Elephas maximus indicus: one gene and its partners. The protein of the gene in region 3 interacts with the protein of the main gene of each other region in a pairwise test. Links are inferred from orthologs where the notes say so. Each region holds a gene or a part of one and is shown on either strand. Other genes may lie near its edges.

What was found.
Region 1: the proteins of TFIP11 (region 3) and ZMAT2 interact in binary tests that used the Homo sapiens proteins (3 or more experiments, as listed by UniProt). The two-hybrid records come from large-scale screens. The link is inferred for Elephas maximus indicus from reciprocal best matches to the Homo sapiens genes TFIP11 and ZMAT2.
Region 2: the proteins of TFIP11 (region 3) and RHNO1 interact in binary tests that used the Homo sapiens proteins (3 or more experiments, as listed by UniProt). The two-hybrid records come from large-scale screens. The link is inferred for Elephas maximus indicus from reciprocal best matches to the Homo sapiens genes TFIP11 and RHNO1.

The regions. Positions count from the first base shown.
Region 1 is NC_064820.1:153,927,637-153,934,697, reverse strand, and holds the start of ZMAT2 (zinc finger matrin-type protein 2), read right to left. Parts: upstream 3,004-7,061; 5' UTR 2,913-3,003; coding exon 2,895-2,912; intron 2,563-2,894; coding exon 2,469-2,562; intron 1,393-2,468; coding exon 1,269-1,392; intron 1-1,268. Other genes in the region: histidine--tRNA ligase, mitochondrial, read right to left, coding at 5,010-5,069, 5,491-5,637, 5,858-5,974, 6,135-6,377, 6,470-6,597, 6,911-7,004. UniProt on the Homo sapiens protein: Involved in pre-mRNA splicing as a component of the spliceosome.
Region 2 is NC_064822.1:59,069,220-59,076,114, reverse strand, and holds the start of RHNO1 (RAD9, HUS1, RAD1-interacting nuclear orphan protein 1), read right to left. Parts: upstream 3,004-6,895; 5' UTR 2,909-3,003; intron 1-2,908. Other genes in the region: FOXM1 (forkhead box protein M1), read left to right, coding at 5,409-5,910, 6,468-6,619. UniProt on the Homo sapiens protein: Involved in microhomology-mediated end-joining (MMEJ) DNA repair by promoting recruitment of polymerase theta (POLQ) to DNA damage sites during mitosis.
Region 3 is NC_064840.1:30,360,126-30,367,246, reverse strand, and holds the start of TFIP11 (tuftelin-interacting protein 11), read right to left. Parts: upstream 3,003-7,121; 5' UTR 2,925-3,002; intron 1,030-2,924; 5' UTR 1,021-1,029; coding exon 812-1,020; intron 1-811. UniProt on the Homo sapiens protein: Involved in pre-mRNA splicing, specifically in spliceosome disassembly during late-stage splicing events. Intron turnover seems to proceed through reactions in two lariat-intron associated complexes termed Intron Large (IL) and Intron Small (IS).

The sequences.
Region 1 (7,061 bases), on a different chromosome or scaffold from region 3:
CCCCGCCTCCTGGTATCCACAAACTTGAGTATTCCTCTCCCATATTGCACCGGGGTTGGTCTTGAGACCAACAGGAAGTGGAAAAAGTGATGGTGTGTCACTTTTTAAGACGAGGTGATAAAAGACCATCACTTCTGTCTTAGTCCATCCATCTGTCCCTCCCTCCTGGATCATGTGCTCTGGTAAAGTCAGCTGCCTTGTTGTAAGCAGCCCTATGGAGAAGCTAATAAAGTGAAGAACTGAGGCCTCCAACCAGCAGTCATACGACACAGCTTAGAAGCCGGTCCTCCGATCCCATTTAAGCCTCAGACGACTGTAGTCCCAGCCAACGCTTTTGACTGCAGCTTTGAGACAGATTAAGCCAAAACCACCTACCTAAACCACTTCCAGATTACTTACCCATAGAAATTTGGGAGCTGTATGCTGTTTAAACTGCTACCTTTTGGGGCAATTTGTTACATATCAATAGGTAACTAATAGAGAGAGGAATGACAACAGGGAGTTTACTAAACACGTCATTAATTACTATCTGTGTTGCCTTCCTGCTAGAAAACTTAAAAAACTGGATGCAGTAGTAGGGATGGGGAGAAAGGTGAAGAGCTCTTGTGGGATCCTTCTTATAAGTTATAGTCTTGGTCTGGGAGGAAGGTGCACAACCAGGCAATCCATAAGGAATACAGCCTTTGTGGCCTGTCTGGAATACCAACCCCCTTCTTCACCATCAGCAGCTCCTAGGCTCCATGCTACCCACTGCTGCCCAGTCAATTCTGACTCAGAGAGACCCAGTAGGACAAAGCAGAACTGCCCCATAGGGTTTCCAAGGCCATAAATCTTTATGGTAGCAGGCTGCCACAACTTTCTCCCACAAAACAGCTGGTGGGTTCTAACTGCTGACCTTTCTGTTAGCAGTGAAGTGCTTAACCACTTCACCACTAGAGCTCCTAGGCTCCATTCTAGCTCTAGCTAATTTCTCTCTAAAAATCTCTTCAGTAGTTTCCTTCATTTCTTTCTCTGGCAGGAGAACAAATAATCTCTTTTAAGATATTAAGAAGTATTTACTGTGCTAATATGTCAAAGCCTATGGAGTGACCCCTCCTAGAGACGTGATCGTGTTAACTTGGAAGACTAAAAGAAAAACAAATCTAAGAATGGAATTACAGGCAAACAGGTTGTTATCTGCAGGCCAGGGGCCGTTCTAGCACTTCCTAAAACCAATATAGTTTATTAGATCCACTGTTGGCTGCTGAAAAAGACGACCAGCAACTCACCCTCCCATCTCAGATTGCGGGGTGGTCTTGGTAATGACAATTGTCTTTCCAAGCTTAGATTCCAGGTCCACCTTGTAGTCCCTGTGCCGCAGAAGCTCCCGCTTGACGGGCTGCACTGGTTTTCCTGGAACACAATGGGGAGGGGAGCCCCTTCGATATCACAGTTCCACAACCAGAAAAGAAAAAGAAATGTATGAAACCAAAAATTCAGAACTCTACACTCATTTCTTGATTCCTGAAGCAAGGGACACAATGACACCTTGAAGCAGCAGCTAAGGAGAGCCTAAACAGAGAAATAAGTGATAAGCAATCCCCAACTTCTTATAGCTTTTCTCCAGTTTAAAGCCAGTAAGTCTAAAAGCAATGTGTTTTCTATTCATTGATTAACTGAGTTGAAGGGAGGAGTTTGCACAAAGAGCAACCTTTTGAAAGAATAGCAAGGACACTCAGTAATGCTCTCAGGCAGATACTCTAAACATAACACAGAAAGAAACCTTTGCAAGCTGCTTCAAAATAAAAGGGAGAGTGGGCGGGGAATGGACCCAACATTTAGGAAGTACCAGTTATGGGCCAAGCACCGTCATACATGTTACATAAAAAATGAAAGAGATTGTGGAGCAAGATGATGTGAGAATACAATGGAAGAAAAATGTACAAATTTGGAAATAGAGAAGAAAATAAGACATTCCTTTTTGTCAAGTGGGATCTTTATGTAGGAGAGAAACTCCACCTCCTCGACATTGTACAAGGCAAAGAAAAACAGCACTACCAAGCACTAGCTGAAACAATCACATGGTTCCCTGATGAGTATTTCCGCTGTTCTCAGAGGGTCTTGACTGGGTCAGAAATGTTCTCCTCTTCTTGAAGTAATTCCAAGGGAAAGAAGGAGTCCTCGATAGCAGTAATGCACAGCAGCAATACACACCACTTAGCTTCTTCTCTGACATTACTAAGAATTCCAAGCTCTGTACATCAGGAAAGCACCAAATGAACCAACCAGGGCTGGAAAGGATCTCAAAAACCACTTCAGTCCACCTCATCGCCCTCACTTTATACAAAAGAAACCGTGGATCAGGGGGACTATGCTCCGCAAAAGGTCACACAAAGTAGAAGAGGAGAAGCAACGCATTTTAACTCCTCACTCACTCCGATTTCATCGCTACTATGATACCACTGGCTCCTGCTTGGGCAAGCACTCACCATCCTTCTTTTCTCTCTCTTCCGTGAGCCTCTTCTCGGCGAGCTTCTCATATTCATCTTTGTCCCACTTTCGGCGAAAGTCCAAGTTTTTCGTCTGTGGGTAAAAAAGCACTCAAGATCCGTCGCTAACCATGCCTGGAACCCTAGAGAAACTGAAAGTACCGGATCCTCGTTGCCAAGGTGGCCCCAGGACCCTCCGAGAGAGAAGCCACTCCGAACCCGTAAAAGGAGGCTGAGGTGGCCTCGGGACCCTAACCCAAGACCTCTGCGATGCCGCTGATCCTGCGCCCAGGCCTTACGGAAGAACTCACGCACCCCAGACCCTGCGATCGCGAGGAGGTGTCGGATAGCCAGTCCCGTGCAGCAGTCCGTCTCTATTCCGCCCAGAGAAGGCCCCAAAACCTCCCCCTCACACAGAGCACTTACCCCGCTGCCCGACGCCATCTTCACTGCGAAGTGAATGGGAAGCTGGAAAATGTCGTAAAAAGCGGCCTTCGGGCGTAAAGCAAACTTGCTCTCCAATAAACTTAGAGTGTCGTTTTCTAAGGCTGCTAAGAACTGGAGGGCTTCTAAAATAGGCTTGTTGACCCCGCCTCTGCTCCAAGGAGACGGCGCAGGCGCAAGGGCAGCATGAAGCTACACGGAAGTAAGGGCACCTGCTAACATTTTTTTTGGCGTGGTTTTTCGCAAGAGCTACGAAGAGATTTAGTGGGGCTCCTCTGCTTACAAACGAGGGAACTTGGGGCTCAGAAACAGGTTCCTCTAATCTAACCTAATCAACTTTGCACACATTGTCATGAGTTTCTAAACCATCTTTAAGGATAAAGAACAGAGACTCTAAATGCCCCATTAGAATGGTGGTGTTGGTAAAGAATATTGAATATACTATGGACTGCCAGAAAAACAAACAAGTCTGTCTTGGAAAAAGTATAGCCAGAGCAGTCCTTAGAAGTCAGGCTGGCGTGAATTCATCTCATGTATTTTGGACATATTATCAGGAGGGATCAGTCCCTGGAGGACATCATGCTTGGTAAAGGGTCAGTGAAAAAGAGGAAGACCCTCAACAAGATGGATTGACACAGTGGCTGCAACATTGGGCTCAAACATAGCAAGGATAGTGAGGATGGCGCACGAGGGGGCAGTGTTTCCTTTTGTTGTGCATGGGATTGCTGTTGAGTCAGAACCCACTGGCCACCTAACAACAGATGCCCCATTCACCTGCATAAACTAGAGCTATGGCCCTAAGCTATGCTGAAGTGTTTGCAAAGGTCAAAAATGTATGGGAAGCACTTTTTGCACCTTATCTCTTTTTCCTGAAGCAATGTTATCACCCCTTGGTTAACTCATTTTTTCCTTCGGCTAGGAACATTATAGTCATTCAACCTATACAGTACAATTTAATGAACATGATTGGACTTGGGAAAGTCACTCATCAGCAACACTCTTTGGTGAAGCACTCTGGCACACGGCTCACTGTATGTTGATTTTCAGCGATACGACAGAGTGTGGCTGCTCACTTCACTGAACGAATAAACATCATCCCAAGGAGGTTCCAGTTTTCCAGTGTATACTCAAGTATTTTCTATGGCCTATTCCCGTGATAACAAATTATTCAAACTACTACATTTAATATTTTATTTAACATATCCAACCACTTATAAAACAGCTACTCCTATGGAAGGGCAGTCCTGGTGGCGCAGTGGTTAAGAGCTTGGCTGCTAACCAAAAGGTCAGCAGTTCAAATCCATCAGCCGCTTCTTGGAAATCCTGTGGGACAGCTCTACTCTGTCCTACCCAGACAACTTGACAGCAAAGTGTTCTATGAAGGGGCATGGAATAGTCAGAGCGGTGACTCTGGCACAGGAAATGATCTCCAAAATCTCAAAAGATCAGATTTTCATCTTGTCAGTCACCTATTAAGTTCGACATTCAAGATCTTAAACAGACAGCCCCACCCTGTTGTTAACAATGGATGGGCTAGATACCAGATCAATCTGGCTACTGTCTTGCATCCAGTGGTGTAGCATCTCTGTCTTCAGACATTAGCAGAAAGCAACCACTGCCTCTTCTTGCTGTCTCCAAAAACTCCCTGGACAGGCCAAGGGCTGGCTGCAGACAAATTCACCAGCCTCAGCTTCAGAAGCTGCAGTGGAAGGTTAAGTATCATGGTTCTGATCTCAACTGCTCAGTCCTCTCAGCCTGAGGTGACTCTCCGAGAGCTCGGCTCACAGCAACCATATCAGCACCTGTTGGCAGCATTCAGTTGGCACTTCAAACCTGCCATCTGCCTCTGCAGTTAGAACATGTCTCTTTACAGTATCAGTCATCTGCCCCTACGCAGAATAACTGCTCACACTAATGACTTGAAGCCACCGGACACAGGAGTCCTTAGGGCTTTCTATTAATTTTGTAACAAGGAAGGATAGCAAAGGCAGAAGGCGCTTGTCACCCATCCTGGACAGCAGTTGTGATATCCATCGGGAACTCAGTCCTAGATGAAACTTTTTCTACGAAGAGCAGAAGATGACAGTCAGGCAAGGATCAAGAATCAGATAGTCGCTTCTGAATTTCAGCCACAAGATGTTCCCGTTTAATGGTCACCTGAAACATAAAGAACCCTCATGTGACAAGCTCAAAAGTGATACCAGCTCCTTAGCCACTGCTTTTCTAGATTCATATTACTCTGCATCTGCTCCCACTAATTAAGCAACCCACAGGAAGTAACGTGTGCTTCAAGTTGACATGGAGAACATATGTCCTCAAGAGTAAAGGGATTCAAATGCAAATACCTCATCTATATCTTTTGTTGATTAGTCTCAAAGTATGCATTCAGGTTGCATCTGTCCTTCTGCCTACCTGGACAATACTCATTGGCTGCAATAGTTATTTGGGGTAGATCTTCATTCATCTCTATCCCTATTAACCCTGGGGATATTTCTCCAGCCAGAAAATATGTATTTCTTAAAGAATCCAGGAAAGGTAGAAACATTGATTCCATCTATCTCTGCCTGCCCCCACTCACCTCCTCCTTGCTGGCCACTGAACGGAGCTTGATGATCCCTTCCTTCATTTCTTGCTCACCAATAATGACCACCAGTGGAATGCCCATGTTCTCACAGTAGTGCAGCTGGGTTAGTAGTTTAGGGTTGTTCTTGTACAGTAGCTCAGCCTGAAAAAGGTAAAGACAGAGTAGGAGGCTTAGAAGTCACCACAGCACACAAATCATAGGAGTAAGTATTTCCAAGGGAGCCAGAAATAAGTGGCTGGCCCTCCTACCCTAAGAAGCCACTCTAATGAAGACTAAAAAGGTCTGGAGTTTCAGCCTAAACATTACACTGGGATTAACTTCCACATATTCCTAGGTGGTCTGGATATCAGCTCCACCATACCTTGATCCCAGCATCCCAGAGCTCTGCAATTAGCTTCAATCGTTCTTGGAGAAAATTCTTCTGTGGTGTGGCCACAAATACTTGAGTCTCTGTGGTCCGTACCTTTTCACCAAAAACCTAATAAAAGAAAGAAAAAATAGCAAAACTAGTAAGAACTTCTTTGCATCAATAACTCCAAAAGATATAAAGAGTAGTAAGGAAAATGATCCAACTTCACCTCCAGAAACGTGAGGGGTTTTTAGGCCTTTGGCCCCATTCACCCATACCTAGGACCTACCTTCATTCTCTGCTCCACAATAGAGAAGATCCGCTCCACTCCAATGCTGAGCCCCACACATGGCACCCTGTGGCCCTTGGGGTCAAACATGCCCACCAGCCCATCATAGCGCCCACCAGCAGCCACACTGCCCATGCTCAAGGACTCCTCTCCAGCCTGATTTGGGGTCTGTAGAAAAACTGCTTCATAGATCACTCCTGTATAGTAGTCCAGGCCCCGGGCCAGGCTTAAGTCAAAAGAGATCTGTGGGGACAAAACTATCATCAATCTCAGACAAGACTTAGAACCCTGGGAGCCCAGGGCTCAACAGGAAGCCCACTCTCAACTCATCTTACCTTCTCAGCAATTCCAAAAAGAGTCAGGTATTCAAACAGCAGCTTCAGGTCCCTCAGGCCCTCCAGGACCTGCTTGTTCTGGGACAGTCTGGAATCCTGGAACAGTTGCTCTACCAGGGACACGCCACCTGGGGAGACATGTGGTGAAAAATAAGGCCTATTATTTTCATCTAAATGTGTTTCATCCAAATTTATCCTAAATGTGCTCCAGCCAGACCCACTCATTTTCTTAAAAAAAGATCATATGACCAGGTGCCTCCTCTGCCTCTACCTTTGCCATCTGAAAACACAAAGTGGCTACAGTAAAAGGGGAATTAAATTCAGGCCAGGCTCTGGAGCTCTGCACCATCTCTGGAAAGGAGTAGTTTCAGAGGCAGAAGTTGTACACATGTCACCCTTACCCTGGTTCTATCACATAGCTCTGAAAACCCTGGTTCTTACCATGACGTTGGACGTAATCCCCAATTCTATCAGCCACCTCAGGAGCCAGGCTCTTCTTTGTCACCATCTCGTGTCTCACATCTTTCCAAGACATCTGCGTAATACCCAAACATTAGCTCGGTCTCAAGACCCTTCCTTCTCTAACTGGAAA
Region 2 (6,895 bases), on a different chromosome or scaffold from region 3:
GGATCAGTTAGGAGGTTACTGTGTCATCCAGGAGAGAAGTGATGAGGATATGAACCTGAGCTCTGTCAGTAGAGGTGGGAGGCTGGAGACAGATAAGGCCAACAGGACCAGAAAGTAATAAAAAGTCACACAACAGAGCAGATTGTTTCCACTATACATTCATGAGTCAGAAAATTAACATGATCTGATTTATATCACTAGGCAGTAGAGAATCAGGGGAAGAAGGAGAAAAAAAGGACAAAGTCCCCACCTACCCTCAAGGAACTAACATTTCAGGGAGAGCACAAATAATGAACACATCCATTTGTTCATTCATTCATTCAACAAACACTTACGAATGCCTACTATATGCCAGGCACTGTTCCAGGTACTGGAAATATATACCAGAGAACAGTATAAAATCCCTGCCCACATGGTGCTTTAAATCTGAGAGCAATCAGTTAACTCAACTCTTCATTCTGTTTGATTTTTTCAGTGGAAAGTGATAAGCAGTAGGAGAAAAATCAAACAGGATAAGGGGTTGAGCTGACTGAGTGCTATTTTAGATCAGGTTGTCAGGGAAGGCCTATCTGAAGAGGTAGCATTTGAACAAAGTCCTGAATGAAAAAAGAACAAGCAAGCAATGGAAAGATATGAATGAAGAATGCTGAACTCTGAGAGAATAGTAAATGCAAAGACCCTGAAGTGGGACTATTTCTGACCTGTTCAAGAAACAGTAAGGTCAGGGTCACTGAACTCAAGAGTAGTTAAAAGATGAGGTAGTAGAAAGGCAGGAACCAGTTCATGTGACACAGGGCTTTGTAGGCTAGGATTAGATTTTATTCTTAGTGTGATAGGAAGTCACTGAAAGGCCCTGGACAGGAAGTGACATAAGCTGATTCAGAGTGTCAAAAGATAACTCCAGGTACTTTGCGAGGAAAGCCTGGTTGGGAAGAGAGGGGTGGAGAAAGGAAGCAGGGAGTCCAGTTAGGCTACTGCAGGAGTCCAATGGAGACAGAGATAATGGTAGCAATGGCCAAGGTTAAAGGTTTGAAATTAATGACTTGCTGAAATTCACCATCAAATGGGCCTACTGCCTTGCCCAGCAATCCTACTATGATTCCCTGATCAACTCTCCACAAAGATTATCTTAAGTTTTTTCCACTTGCTAAGACTTCTGAACTCCTCTTCTCTCAACAGATGACCTTACGTCCTACTTCACAAAGAATACAGAAGCCACCAAAGGAAATACTCTCATTTTCTAGAAATCAACCACACAAACCTATGCATAGCTGCATCCATCCTCTTTCTCTCAGCTGTAGAGGTGCTGTCAGTCCCTTCTGCAGTCTAAGGCCTTTCCCTCCACCTATGCTTTGGCACCCTTCTCACTCATACACTTTTCTTGTGCAATCTCACTCGCTCATATTTTAATTTCTGCCTACTGTACACATTCAGTTTAGAATTCTCTAAGCTCAGGACCCATATACCCATTGTCTACTTGACAGCAACTAGGTGCCTCAAATGTACCTGAAACTCAACATGTTTAAAACTGAACTCATCATCACCTCCCACCTCCAGGGCCCTGTCTCAGCAAATAGTACATGCTTCATCCAGTTATGCAGCCAGAAACCTGCCACTTCCCTCTCCCCGCCTCCTTCATCCAACCCAGCACCAAGTCCTGTCAATTTTACCTCTTAAATTTGTCTTCAATAATCGTCTCTTTCTCCCCCTGTCTTCACCCCTTCCCCCCTTCTTCAAGCTCCAACCAGTTCTCCCATGGAGTATCACGACAGCCTAACTGGTCTATCCTAATCCACTTAAAAATGTGCAATTTAAAAAATGGAAGTTTGACCATGACTCACTGATGCTTAAAACTTGATTGGCTTTCTTGAGTTTTTGGATAAGGACACAACTCAGTATGGCTAGGCTCTGCTTTCTCTTGCTCCAGCTTCATCTCACACCACGCTTCACTCAGGTCTGTTAGCTCGAACTTCTTAAACAAACAAACAAACCCATTGCCACTGAGTCAATTCCAACTCGTAGCAATCCTACGAACTCCTTAGATTACAGATATTTTTCCGACTTCATACTCACCATGTGTCCTTCACACTCACAGCCTTTGCACACTTCATTCTCTCCCTCTACTTAGAGGGCTTCCCTCCCTTTTTTGCACAAAGGCATCAGATCTCACATCAAGCTTCAATTCATCAGAAAACCCTTTCTTGACCTACATAACTCAAGACCTCATTACAGATACTCAAAGTATCATTTACCTCTACCACTTCACAGCTATAATTCTACATTTGATGATGTTTGTGATGCCAGCCCCTTTCCCCAGTTAGTCTGGTAAGCCCATGAGACAGAAAACTGTCTACCATTGTATTCCCAGGGCCTATCACACTGCCTGGCACATAGTAGGTGCTCAGCAAACATTTGTTGAGTAAGTGAATAAAGCACTTTAGTCCATTATATCAAAAAGCTTGGCTGGCAGTGGAGACAAACAGGAGACAGGTCAGTAGTTGAAGATTTAGAGTTGAGGGAGAATTTATTTGTGTGTTTTAAGATGCAAGACACTTGGACAAGGTTATGTGCTACCCTTGAAGAACTCTCAGTCTAGTTGGGGGTACCAGAGGATCGGTAATCGGAGGTGAATGGACTACAATTTCCCCCCATTAGGATATCAGTTAAAACAGACCTTTAAAGAGGGTATGGAAATCCTGAGAGGGGTAGCGTGGAGGGTGGGAAAGCGGCAGAAGCAGGCCGAGAGGGGCCGTGTCCCAGTCACCACCATCTTCCCGCGTCCCCTCACAGTCTCTCCGCTCCCCCCACCCCAACCGCAGGGCCCCCCTCTCGCTCCTTCCCGCTCCCACCGCCCCCTCTGAGCCCACAGGAGCCTTCTCCCTTCGGGCCGGTCCCGGGCTTCTCTTACCCGCCCGGCAGGGTCAGGGCCGCGTCTCCTCTCAGGTCTCCACGGCTTCGAGCCCGGAACTCGGAGACAAGGGCCGGCGCCGATTGGCGACGCCCCGTCACGTGACCGCAACGCTCCGCCGGCGCCAATTTCAAACAGGGGAACAAACTGAAAGCTCCGGTGCCGGACCCCACCCCCGGCCCCTGGCCCGGGACCCCCTCCCCTCCCGGGATCCCCCGGGATTCCCCACCCCTCCCGCACCGTCGGGGACCTGGCCGGCCTGGCGCGAGTCCCTATCCGGGACCCTGGCTCGGCCCCCAGATTGGAGGAGCCCGGAGTCCGCCCTAGGAGCCTCACCCCAGCAGCGGCGGAGGCTGCAGTCGGGAGGTGAGCTGGGCAGAGGAATGGAGGCTGAGGCCGGGCCTGGGCAGAGGCAGGGAGCAAGGTCTCTGGCACCGCTTCCGTAAGTCCTCCGGGCGAGGAAGTCAGGGAGTCTAGCAATAGGGTGCGGGACAGGAGTGGAGGTTTGGGACCACACGGGGAAGGAGGTCTGAGTAAGGGTGCAAATTTTTTCTGCATCCAACCTCTGGTCTCGGCCTTCTCACTTATTTCTCTAAGCACCACTTGGCTTTTACTGGAAGTGTGACCTCTGTACCCTGCATCAGGAGGGCTGAGGTGGCCTACCAAGTGTGAATCGTGGCTGAACTGAAGACTGAGCTTATTCTCCAGTAAGTGAAAGATCAACCCACACACACTCCCCTGCTCTCAGGCGCTCTCACCACTAGGCAACACTGCCTCCACCCTACTCTTACAGGGCCCTTCTCCTGGTTGTTGAGAATCTAGCAAGGTTTCCCTGGTCAGGATGGGGTTACTCTGGAAGTCACCGGGCTAGAAAGTGTTGTTGGCAATACTAGGAAGAGGCTTGTCAGGCTAGAAAGTGTTGTTGGCAATACTAGGAAGAGGCTTGTCAGGGAGTAGAAGAGAAAATTAAGACTTAGACCAGGAAGAAGATATTTTGGAGGAAGGGGAAGATAATAGCTACTGGCTGATGGGAGGAAGGAGGGGAGGAGGCCAGGAGAGATATGAGGTGGAAGTAAAACTGAGATTTGAAGGTAAAGGAAACCTAGATATATAGGAAGGGGAAGAGGCAAAGTGGGAAAGGCCTGTGAATTCTAAGCAGATGGCACCAAAAAAGCAGATGGCAAATGTCATACAAATGTGTCAATCATTTTTCGGGAGATAGCAGATGTCCTAAAAGAGACAGCCAATTTCCCTGTCTCTCAAAGTACCTCTAAATAGAATTACACAATTTTGCATAAACTGGCAGAGTATTTCATGTAGCTATTAAAAATTAACAAAGCACAATTTTTCTCCCCAAGAGAAAAACTACCCTCCTCAGCATTACAAAGCTCCCTTAGCATATTGGTGATAGTCCATTCTAGGAATCAGGAGATAAGGTTTATCCTCTTTGTTCTGGAAGAGAAATTAATACAGTAACATGCTTAGAAATCTAAAATAAAGATAAGCACATGCAAGTACTAATACTGTCACTGCGTAAGTATTTTGTAAACTGAAAGAAAAATACTCTTTTTATTAATGCAACCAAAAACCAAACCCATTACCATCGAGTCTTTTCCAACTCATAGCAACCCTATAGAGCAGAGTGGAACTGCCCTGCCCCATAGAGTTTCCAAGGAGCACCTGGTGAATTCAAACTGCTGACCTTTTGGTTAGCATCTGTAGCTCTTAACCACTACGCCACAGGGTTCCCTTATTAATGCAAGGATAATGATAATGTAGCCTGTAAAATGAATGGCACCCGCTAGAGTTGTGCAGTGCACAATCTGCACAACTTCACCATGGCCCTTAAATAGAGCAAGGGTTGCCTGCAAGCTTTTTATCTGAGCCCTTGTGAACTAGGAGATGATTTCTCCAGTGCTACGGCAATAGTGCAATATGCCTCTCTCCCCTGATTCTGTGGGCACTGATCCTATTTTTTACAGAGTAGAATTACATAAAAATATAAAGGCTCTATCCTAGAATGGATTATGGCATTAGAGTTTTGTTGGGACTATATATCACCATATGCCTTCCTATTCCAGCATCTCCCATCCCTGTCCCTCCAGTCATAGCAAGTAATGTGTATTATAATTTCTACATTTTGTGGCTATCTCACTTGTTTCTGTAGCCAAGCATTCTTAAGCTTCCAGCAGGAAGTCTTTGGCTGTCTTGACCCAAATCCAATCCAGTTCCACTTTCCCCCTTTGAATTGCTTCTGTTTGCTTCAGTTTTACCTTTCTTTAGTCAGTGGATTTCATCTTAGTATTGGAGGTAAGCCTCTACAAAGGTCAGGGAGCATTACCTGGGCCCTTAGGCTCATACTTCTGGCCATAAAAATAGGAATGCCTCTCTAAGAGAAGCTCCTTCTCAGCCTAACAAATCTCTGATATCCTGCTCCTCCTTATACTTTCCAGGGTCCATGCTTGTGATTCTCAATGGAGAGTGAAAGCACAGATTCATAATGAAAACCAGCCCCCGTCGGCCACTGATTCTCAAAAGACGGAGGCTGCCCCTTCCTGTTCAAAATGCCCCAGGTGAAACATCAGAGGAGCAACCTAAGCAGTCCCCTGCCCAACAGGAGCCTGGCCAAGCACAGGCCTCCAAGGAGGTGGCAGAGTCTAGCTCTTGCAAGTTTCCAGCTGGAATCAAGATTATTAACCACCCTACCATGCCTAACACCCAAGTGGTGGCCATCCCCAACAATGCCAATATCCAGAGCATCATCACAGCACTGACCGCCAAAGGAAAAGAAAGTGGCAGCAGTGGGCCCAACAAGTTCATCCTCATCAGCTGTGGGGGAGCCCCCACTCACCCTCCAGGACCCCAGCCTGTAACCCAAGCCAGCTGTGATTCAAAGAGGACAGAAGTGATAACCGAAACCCTGGGACCAAAGCCTACAGCTAGGGATGTGAATCTTCCTAGACCTCCTGGAGCCCTTCCGGGGCAGCGATGGGAGAGCTGTGGTATGTGATCTGCAAGGCAAAGGGGTGAGGAGCCCAGCCTTTCTTCTCTGGTGGCAAGGTCTGCAGTCAGTCGTATTGATGCTTATAACAGACAGGTGTGCAGCCTGAACCAAGTTTCCTCACCCAGTAGCTTTGACCATATCCTCTGGGCACCATTGAAAGCATTGTGATTATAATTTAGCATTTCTATTGCCTTCTTTATATTGGAAAAGAACTTATTATTTCTATTTCTCCTTTCCATTGATCCTATAAGGAAGTAGAAAACTAAAGCAGAAGGAAAAAAAGTTACTTTCCTTGTGCAAATACTCAAATAACTCTTCCGTAAGGTTGCCTTGCCTGATCTTTAAGGTGCAACGCAGCTTGATTGAATTGCAACTTGAATTTCTCCTGAAATCCCTAATAAGGTGGAGTAACTTAGGGCCCATTAGATTTAGCATGTGTTCCCTGTCCCTAAGGGTAGAGGTCTTGGAGTAGTGGTCCCTAACCACAAATTTTGATGGGCCTGCCAGGCGTCTGGTCAGGCAGCTAAGTGGAGTCTTGGATTGCTTTCTGTCTAGCTGGCGGTGAGGCAGCAGGCTGCACTCTCGACAACAGCTTGACCAATATCCAGTGGCTTGGAAAGATGAGTTCTGATGGACTGGGCTCCTGCGGCATCAAGCAAGAAATGGAGGAAAAAGAGAATCATCACCTGGAACAGAGTCAAGTTAAGGTGCACCGCTCTAGGGCACTCAGTAGGGGAGTTAGCCATTGTGGGGAATTTCTAAAAGGGAACTAGATCAAGTGGCCTGCTGGAGCAGGATGTCCAAGCTCTAGTATTTATACTCCACTTAGTGCTATTCTGGAAGCCCTGGTGGCGTAGTAGTTAAGAGCTACGGCTGCTAATCAAAGGGTCAGCAGTTGAAATCCACCAGGCGCTCTTTGGAAACTCTGTGGGGCAGTTCTACTCCGTTCTATAGGGTCACTATGAATCAGAATCAACGGAACA
Region 3 (7,121 bases):
AATCCAAATCAGTTCCACGCTCCTGTCAAGTGAGCTGTGGTCCCTCACGCATGGTCTCACGCTGTGTTCAGGAAGGGAGGGGAGACTTTGAGCCTGACTCCTCCATCTCCCTGCCCCCATCCTAGCCTGGGCCTCCCCCACCTCTGCAGAGCACTGCCATGGCCTCCTTCCGGAGCTCCCACTTCCACTGTAGCTCCATGCCTATTCTGCACATCAGCAAAAGAGCCTTCTTCAGACTGCACCACACTTCACTCTCTCTACCACCACCTCCAGGCCCCTAAGGACTTGACCTCCGGCCTCCCCTCCCATATGCTCCCCCTCCCTCTCTCCACTCCAGCCTGCAAAACCTTTTCTTTTCCTTGTGGATACCCTGCTGCCTCCAATCTAAGGCCTTTGCATCCTCCTGCCTCTCCTTCTACTCCAGTTACCTTCTAGTTCCATATCAGCTCAAGGGTCACTTCTCCAGAATGACCTTCCCTGACCTCCCTGAACAGGTCAAACACCCTGCTCTCCTTCAGGTCTGAAATCACAGTAACAGACTTCCAGTGTTTGTGTGAAGGGTTGATTAATGCCTGTCTCCATCCACTAGATGGATCTGTAGCCCGGGCCTGACATACAGTAACTGCTCTATAAACACTGACTGAATGACTCAATCAGCAAGAGCGGCATTCTCGCCTGAAGAGGAAAATGGACCTCCCTAGCTGATGTCACATACCTAAAGGACTCCAAGAGGCCACAAGGTCTACCCAGCGCCCTCCATCCATCTCTCCTTCCCTAAAGCAGGAAGAGCCAGCCCCACGCAGGCCAGTACCGTTTGCCTCCAAAGCTGGGTCGCTCCTCATCTGAATCTCGCTCTGCCCACACCCCGTAGGTGGCCTCTTCCTTGGTCTGCCAGTGGCGCTGCCGGTTGGGGTTGAACTCATTCTGGAGATCCCAGTCGGTGATCTCAAAGTTCTCATGCTCATCCTCGTCCTCATCCATGTGGCCTTCCCCGTCCCGGTACAAGTGGGACAGCGACATGGCCCGTCACTAAAGGAAGGGACAAAAAGGGCAGAGTCTGTGAAAAGTCCTGGAGGCAGCAATGGAAGGCTTCCTGTGAGTCCCTGCTCCTTGCTGCCTTCAGAACTTCTATGAAACTCAAAGTCTGTTAAAATCATTGTTACTGTTCAATAAAGTGGACAGTTAAAGACATATTTCAGGAAACAATCAGTACTACAACAGGTGAAACAAAAGATTAATGTCAACCATCTGTGATTCTTAAAAAATATGCATTTCTCTGTCCTAGTCAATGCTGTAAGACTTCACCCACATATATACAAAAGCCACACAAAAACAACTAAGTAAATACGTTCTTCTATATATTATTGCCTCAGAAATTGGGTGAATATCTTCCCAAACCCCCGATTTTATTACTATTTTCAATTATTGAAATAGTTGTATCTGGACTCTTGGCATGGGCTCAGGAGAGTGACTTTTTCTTTATTGGTGGGGTGGGGGATGTACTTTCTGAAATAAATTACTTGAAGAGACAGACTCTTAGAGTTATCTCTCTCTATTTTCTTTCCCAAAAATGAACCTTTTCTGATGAGTTGGAAGGCAGCCGTAATTAAGAACACTACCTTAACAGTCAGGCATATGTGGATTGGAATAGAGACTCTACCTCTTGGTGGCCGGGTGATGGGACTTGGTTGTCTCTTTCTGAAACTGGGATTAGCTACTGTACCAACCTTAGAGAATATAAGGTGGTATTCAATGAGATGGAGCTTAAAAAAATCTCTTAAAACAAAAAACCAAGTCAGTTGTCGTACATGACTCCAACTCATGACAACCCCATGTGTATCAGAGTAGAATTATGCTCCATAGGGGTTTTCAAGGGCTGATTTTTCAAAGTTGATTGCCAGGCCTTTCTTCTGAGGCACCTCTGGGTGGACTTGAACCACCAACCTTATGGTTAGCAGCCAAGTGCCTAACTATATGCACCACCCAGGGACACCAAAACCACTCAACTCATAATAAATGCTCAAAGAATAGCTGCTGCTGTAGTCATCACCCTGGTTAAGTTTATCATTGCTACTATTATTGGATTAGAGAATGAACCTAGGAAGGTGATTATGAAATCAATCAGGTGCTAAAATCACAGCCAGGGTTCAAATCTCAACTCCAACGAATACTCAGTGTGTGGGTGTTAAATGCACACGAAGTGTCAAGCATGGTGCACTGCATAGCAATACATTCGATAAGTGACAGGGACTGTGATTCTTCTCCACCAGTTGCTGACTACTTCCACAAGCAGTGTGTCAACCTCTGCTCAGCTCTGTCAGAAAGTTCCCCCCTTCTTCTTCTACTCACTGCTGCGGGTGCAGCTGGTCCCAACCTCATCCAGGAGTGCATAGGCGGTAAATGTTCTTGGAAGAGACTGGGAGTCCCAGATACATGGGAGTAAATTATACCGTTGGCTTCTGGGGCACAACCACGGTACTAATCAGAGTAGCTACGAGTTGTAGCGCCCTCAGTAGGTATTAAGTACCTGCTGGGCACTTCAGGTCGGCTACATAACGTAAGCACCAGGACACTTATACGAGGCAGATACTACTAAAGTTTCCACGCTTCAAATAACAAAAATGAGACGGGGGAGCGAAACAACACGCCCTAGGTTCCACGGCTAACAGAGCTCGAACTAGAGCCTGGCCTTCTCTCCACCCTGCTGTCCACGCTACGCGGAGGTGGCCCAGGTTCTTGACTCGGCCCTGGCCCTGGCCTCAACTCCCGCGTAACATCGAGCGGCCCGGTCCCTCTACGGGCCTCGGCAACGCCGTCTGCGAGATGGGATCCTACACCGGTGAGGCCAAGACTGCCTTTCCCTCGCCCCACTCCCCGTGGCGCAGCTCTTTCTCAGCCCGTTTCCACTCCCCGACGTAGCTCACCTCTCCGATGTCCCGCGAACCAAACACGGGCGTCTGTTCTACACCATCAACGCGCCACTCCGGCGGCCGGGACCCGGAAGCACTTAGTCAGGCGCGCCGGAAATGACGCCTGCGGCACTCACGGCTTGCGGGCTCCCATGGCAACAGTGGAAAGCCAGAACGTCTTGGGGTTCTAAAGCGGTGGGGCAGAGATACTAGAAAGGTAACCGGGATTTGTGGGTCCCCGAGCGGCCGCTTTGCCGTCATGTCCAGCTCCTTGTTGTGCCTGCCTCGTACGGCGACGCCCACCTACGATGACCCATGTGGACATCGCCGAGCCACCTCAGCCTAAGCAGCCCCAGATTCTGAATCTGTAAAATGGGGATATAGGACTAGCCCATAGGATAGTTGTGAGCATTAGTGTGAGACAGTAGGGAGCCCGGTACACGGCCCTCAAATGGGAGTAATGAAGGCCGCAACTGTGTCTCCTGTATCTTTAGGTCTTCAGTATAAGCACCATCGTGGGCGCAGAATCGTTGCCTTATAAAGGAGTTTGAGGGCGTACAGGAATAAATGAGCCAACTTTAGAGTTCCCAAGTGTTCTCTCCGGGAAATCGTTCCGTTCTTTTCCTTTCAAACAGGTTGATAAATAATTTATTCATTCACATATCTAATATAAATGTACAATGGGTCTAGCTAGGTGTGGGGTGCTGCTAAATGCTGCTTCCTAGAGGTGGGACGTGGGACAAGTTGCTTCACCTCTCTTCACCTCAATTCCACCATCTGTAAAATGGGGATAATGAAGGTGCTGATCTAAAATGATTATTCTCAGGACAAAAATGGACTAATTATTGCATGTAAAGCTCTTAGCACAGTTCCTGGTATAGTGAAAAGACAGTTGCTTACCAGTGGATTCTGGCGCATGCCAACCTCAAGTGTGTCGGAGTAGAACTGTGCTCCATAGGGTTTGCAATGGCTGATTTTTTGGAAGTAGATCGTCAGGTCATTCTTCCGAGGTGCCTCTAGGTGGACTTCAATCTCTGACCTTTTGGATAGCAGCCAAGCTTTAACCATTTGCACCACCCAGGGACTCCCTGGCATAGCAAGAGCTTAGTAAATAGCTGTGGCTATTTGCATTTAGAAGTCACAATCTCACACCCCTTTAACCCTCAAAGATAACATGGTTTTTTCAGGGTGTCTGGGCTAAAGTGACCAACCTCGGGAAAATGAGAAAAGGTGACCAGAAATCTGGATTCAGGCCCCTGAGTGATACCAGTCCTGGTCTCCTGTCACTGCCCAGAAAAAGCATTACTCTGGGACTTAGTGACATCCAGGCCGGTGCCTAGATTACCAGCGAGGTACTCAGACACGTGGCCTTCCCAGAGGGGGTTGCCAAGCAACAAGGTTCCTTGGCAGCAGCTTGACAGGGTCCTCTGACAGTAATTGGTCCATCCCTCTCCTTTTCACAGATGAGGCCATGGAGCCTGTTTTGAATTAAATTACGCCCTTCCCCCAAATATGTGTTGGAATCCTAACCCCTATACCTGTGGAAATAATCCTATTTGGAAATATGGTTTTCTTTGTTACTTAGCTCATACCCGAGTGGGGTGGGTTCTGTATCTAATTACTTCTGATTTATAAAAAGAACAAATTAGACACAGAGATACGGCAGGGGGAGTGGGGGCACTCTTTTAGCCTCCCAAATTGTGAGAAGATAAATTTCCATTCTTCAAAGCTACCCACTTCTGGTATTTGTGTTATAGCAGCACTAAGAAACTTAGAGGTCCTGGTACAGGGGACATGCCAAGGGCCACACAGTGAGTTTAAAGACAGAACCAGGCCTGGAACCCAGAAGTTCAGACTTCCAGGCCAGTGTTCTTCCTGGCATACCCTGCATACGGCCACACACCATGTGGGTCCACTCGGTTGAGCTAATACTTATAGAGTGATTCCAGTGTGTTCAGGGTCACACTGCCAAGCTCTCTGCATACATCATCTCTGCAATTCTTCAAATTTCAGAGATACTTCCTATTACCACCCCAGAGGCCACACTCCTAACCACCCCTTGCACAACCTCTGCCATATGGCACTGCTTCCATATTGCCTCCAAAAGGACTGGGAGGTGGGGGAAAATCCTTGCTCAGTTCCAACTTTAAATAGGTTGGTACCATAGAAACAAACCATAAGTGGCATTTCAAAGCTGATATATTTAAAGTCTATCACAAGAACTTTTTCTAGGACAGTGACATTATACATTTTCACATAGTTTATTCTTATTTTGAATTTTGTTCCAAAGCATAAATTCAGTCCTGAGTCTGGTAGAACTAAAAATCCAGATCAGCTGCTAATTAGCCCATTTGATTTCCCTTTATATGTTCCTTACAGATGTTTTCTACCCTACTTATTTTTTAAGACTTTGTAACAACTCCATCCTCATATAAAAAGCTGGGACACAAGGTGTCACAGGCCTGAGGCATTCTTTGTAAAACAAGCAGCCTCAAAAGCCACAGGCAAGCTGAGGAACCACAGCCTTCATCATTCATTCCCTAATTCATGTAGTTACTCATTAACAAATATTTACTGATGACCTGTGTTATTAGTTAGGTCCCTGGGTGGTGCAAACGGTTCATGCTTGACTACTAATCTAAAGGTTGGAGGTTGAAACCCACCCAGCCACACAGTGGAAGGAAGGCCTGGCTATCTGTTTCCATAAAGATTCAACCCATTGCCATCAAGTCGATTTCAACTCATAGCGACCCTATAGGACACAGTAGAACTGCTCCATTAGATTTCCAAGGCCGTAATCTTTATGGAAGTGGACTGCCACATCTTTCTCTTGTGGAGCAGCTGGTGGATTTGAACTGCTAACCTTTTGGTTAGCAGCCACGCTCTTAATCATTGCACCAGCCGGCCTCCTCCATGAGGATTACAGCCAAAAAACCCTATGGAGCAGTTCTTCAGTAACACGTGGATTCACCATGAGTTGGAATCAACAGCAATGGGTTTGTCTGTTTGTTTTTATAATTTTTATTGTGCTTTAAGTGAAAGTTTACAAATCAAGTCAGTCTCTCACACAAAAACTTATATACACCTTGCTACATACTCCCAATTACTCTCCCCCTAATGAGACAGCCCGCTCTCTCCCTCCACTCTCTTTTCATGTCCATTTCGCCAGCTTCTAACCCCCTCTACCCTCTCATCTCCCCTCCAGGCAGGAGATGCCAACATAGTCTCAAGAGTCCACCTGATCCAAGAAGCTCATTCCTCACCAGCATCCCTCTCCAACCCGTTGTCCAGTCCAATTCAGGTCTGAAGAGTTGGCTTCGGGAATGGTTCCTGTCCTGGGCAACAGAAGGTCAGGGGGCCATGACCACCAGGGTCCTTCCAGTCTCAGAGAGACCATTAAGTCTGGTCTTTTTATGACAATTTGGGGTCTGCGTCCCACTGCTCTCCTGCTCCCTCAGGGGTTCTCTGTTGTGCTCCCTGTCAGGGCAGTCATCAGTTGTAGCCGGGCACCATCTAGTTCTTCTGGTCTCAGGGTGATGTAGTCTCTGGTTCATGTGGCCCTTTCTGTCTCCTGGGCTCCTAATTACCTTGTGTCCTTGGTGTTCTTCATTCTCCTTTGCTCCAGGTGGGTTGAGACCAATTGATGCATCTTAGATGGCTGCTTGCTAGCGTTTAAGACCCCAGACACCACATTTCAAAGTGGGATGCAGAATGTTTTCTTAATATATTTTATTATGCCAGTTGACTTAGATGTCCCCTGAAATCATGGTCCCCAAACCCCTGCTACACTGGCCTTCGAAGCATTCAGTTTATTCAGGAAACTTCTTTGCTTTTGGTTTAGTCCAATTGTGCTGACCTCCCCAGTATTGTGTGCTGTCTTTCCCTTCACCTAAAGTAGTTCTTATCTACCAACTAATTAGTGAATACCCCTCTCCTACCCTCTCACCCTCCCATTCTCCCTCCTCTCATAACCACAAAAGAAATGTTTCCTTCTCAGTTTAAACTATTTCTCAAGTTCTTATAATAGTGGTCTTATACAATATTTGTCCTTTTGCAGACTAATTTCACTCAGCATAATGCCTTCCAGGTTCCTCCATGTTATGAAATGTTTCACAGATTCGTCACTGTTCTTTATGGATGCGTAGTATTCCACTGTGTGAATATACCATAATTTACTTACCCATTCATCCATTGATGGGCACCTTGGTTGCT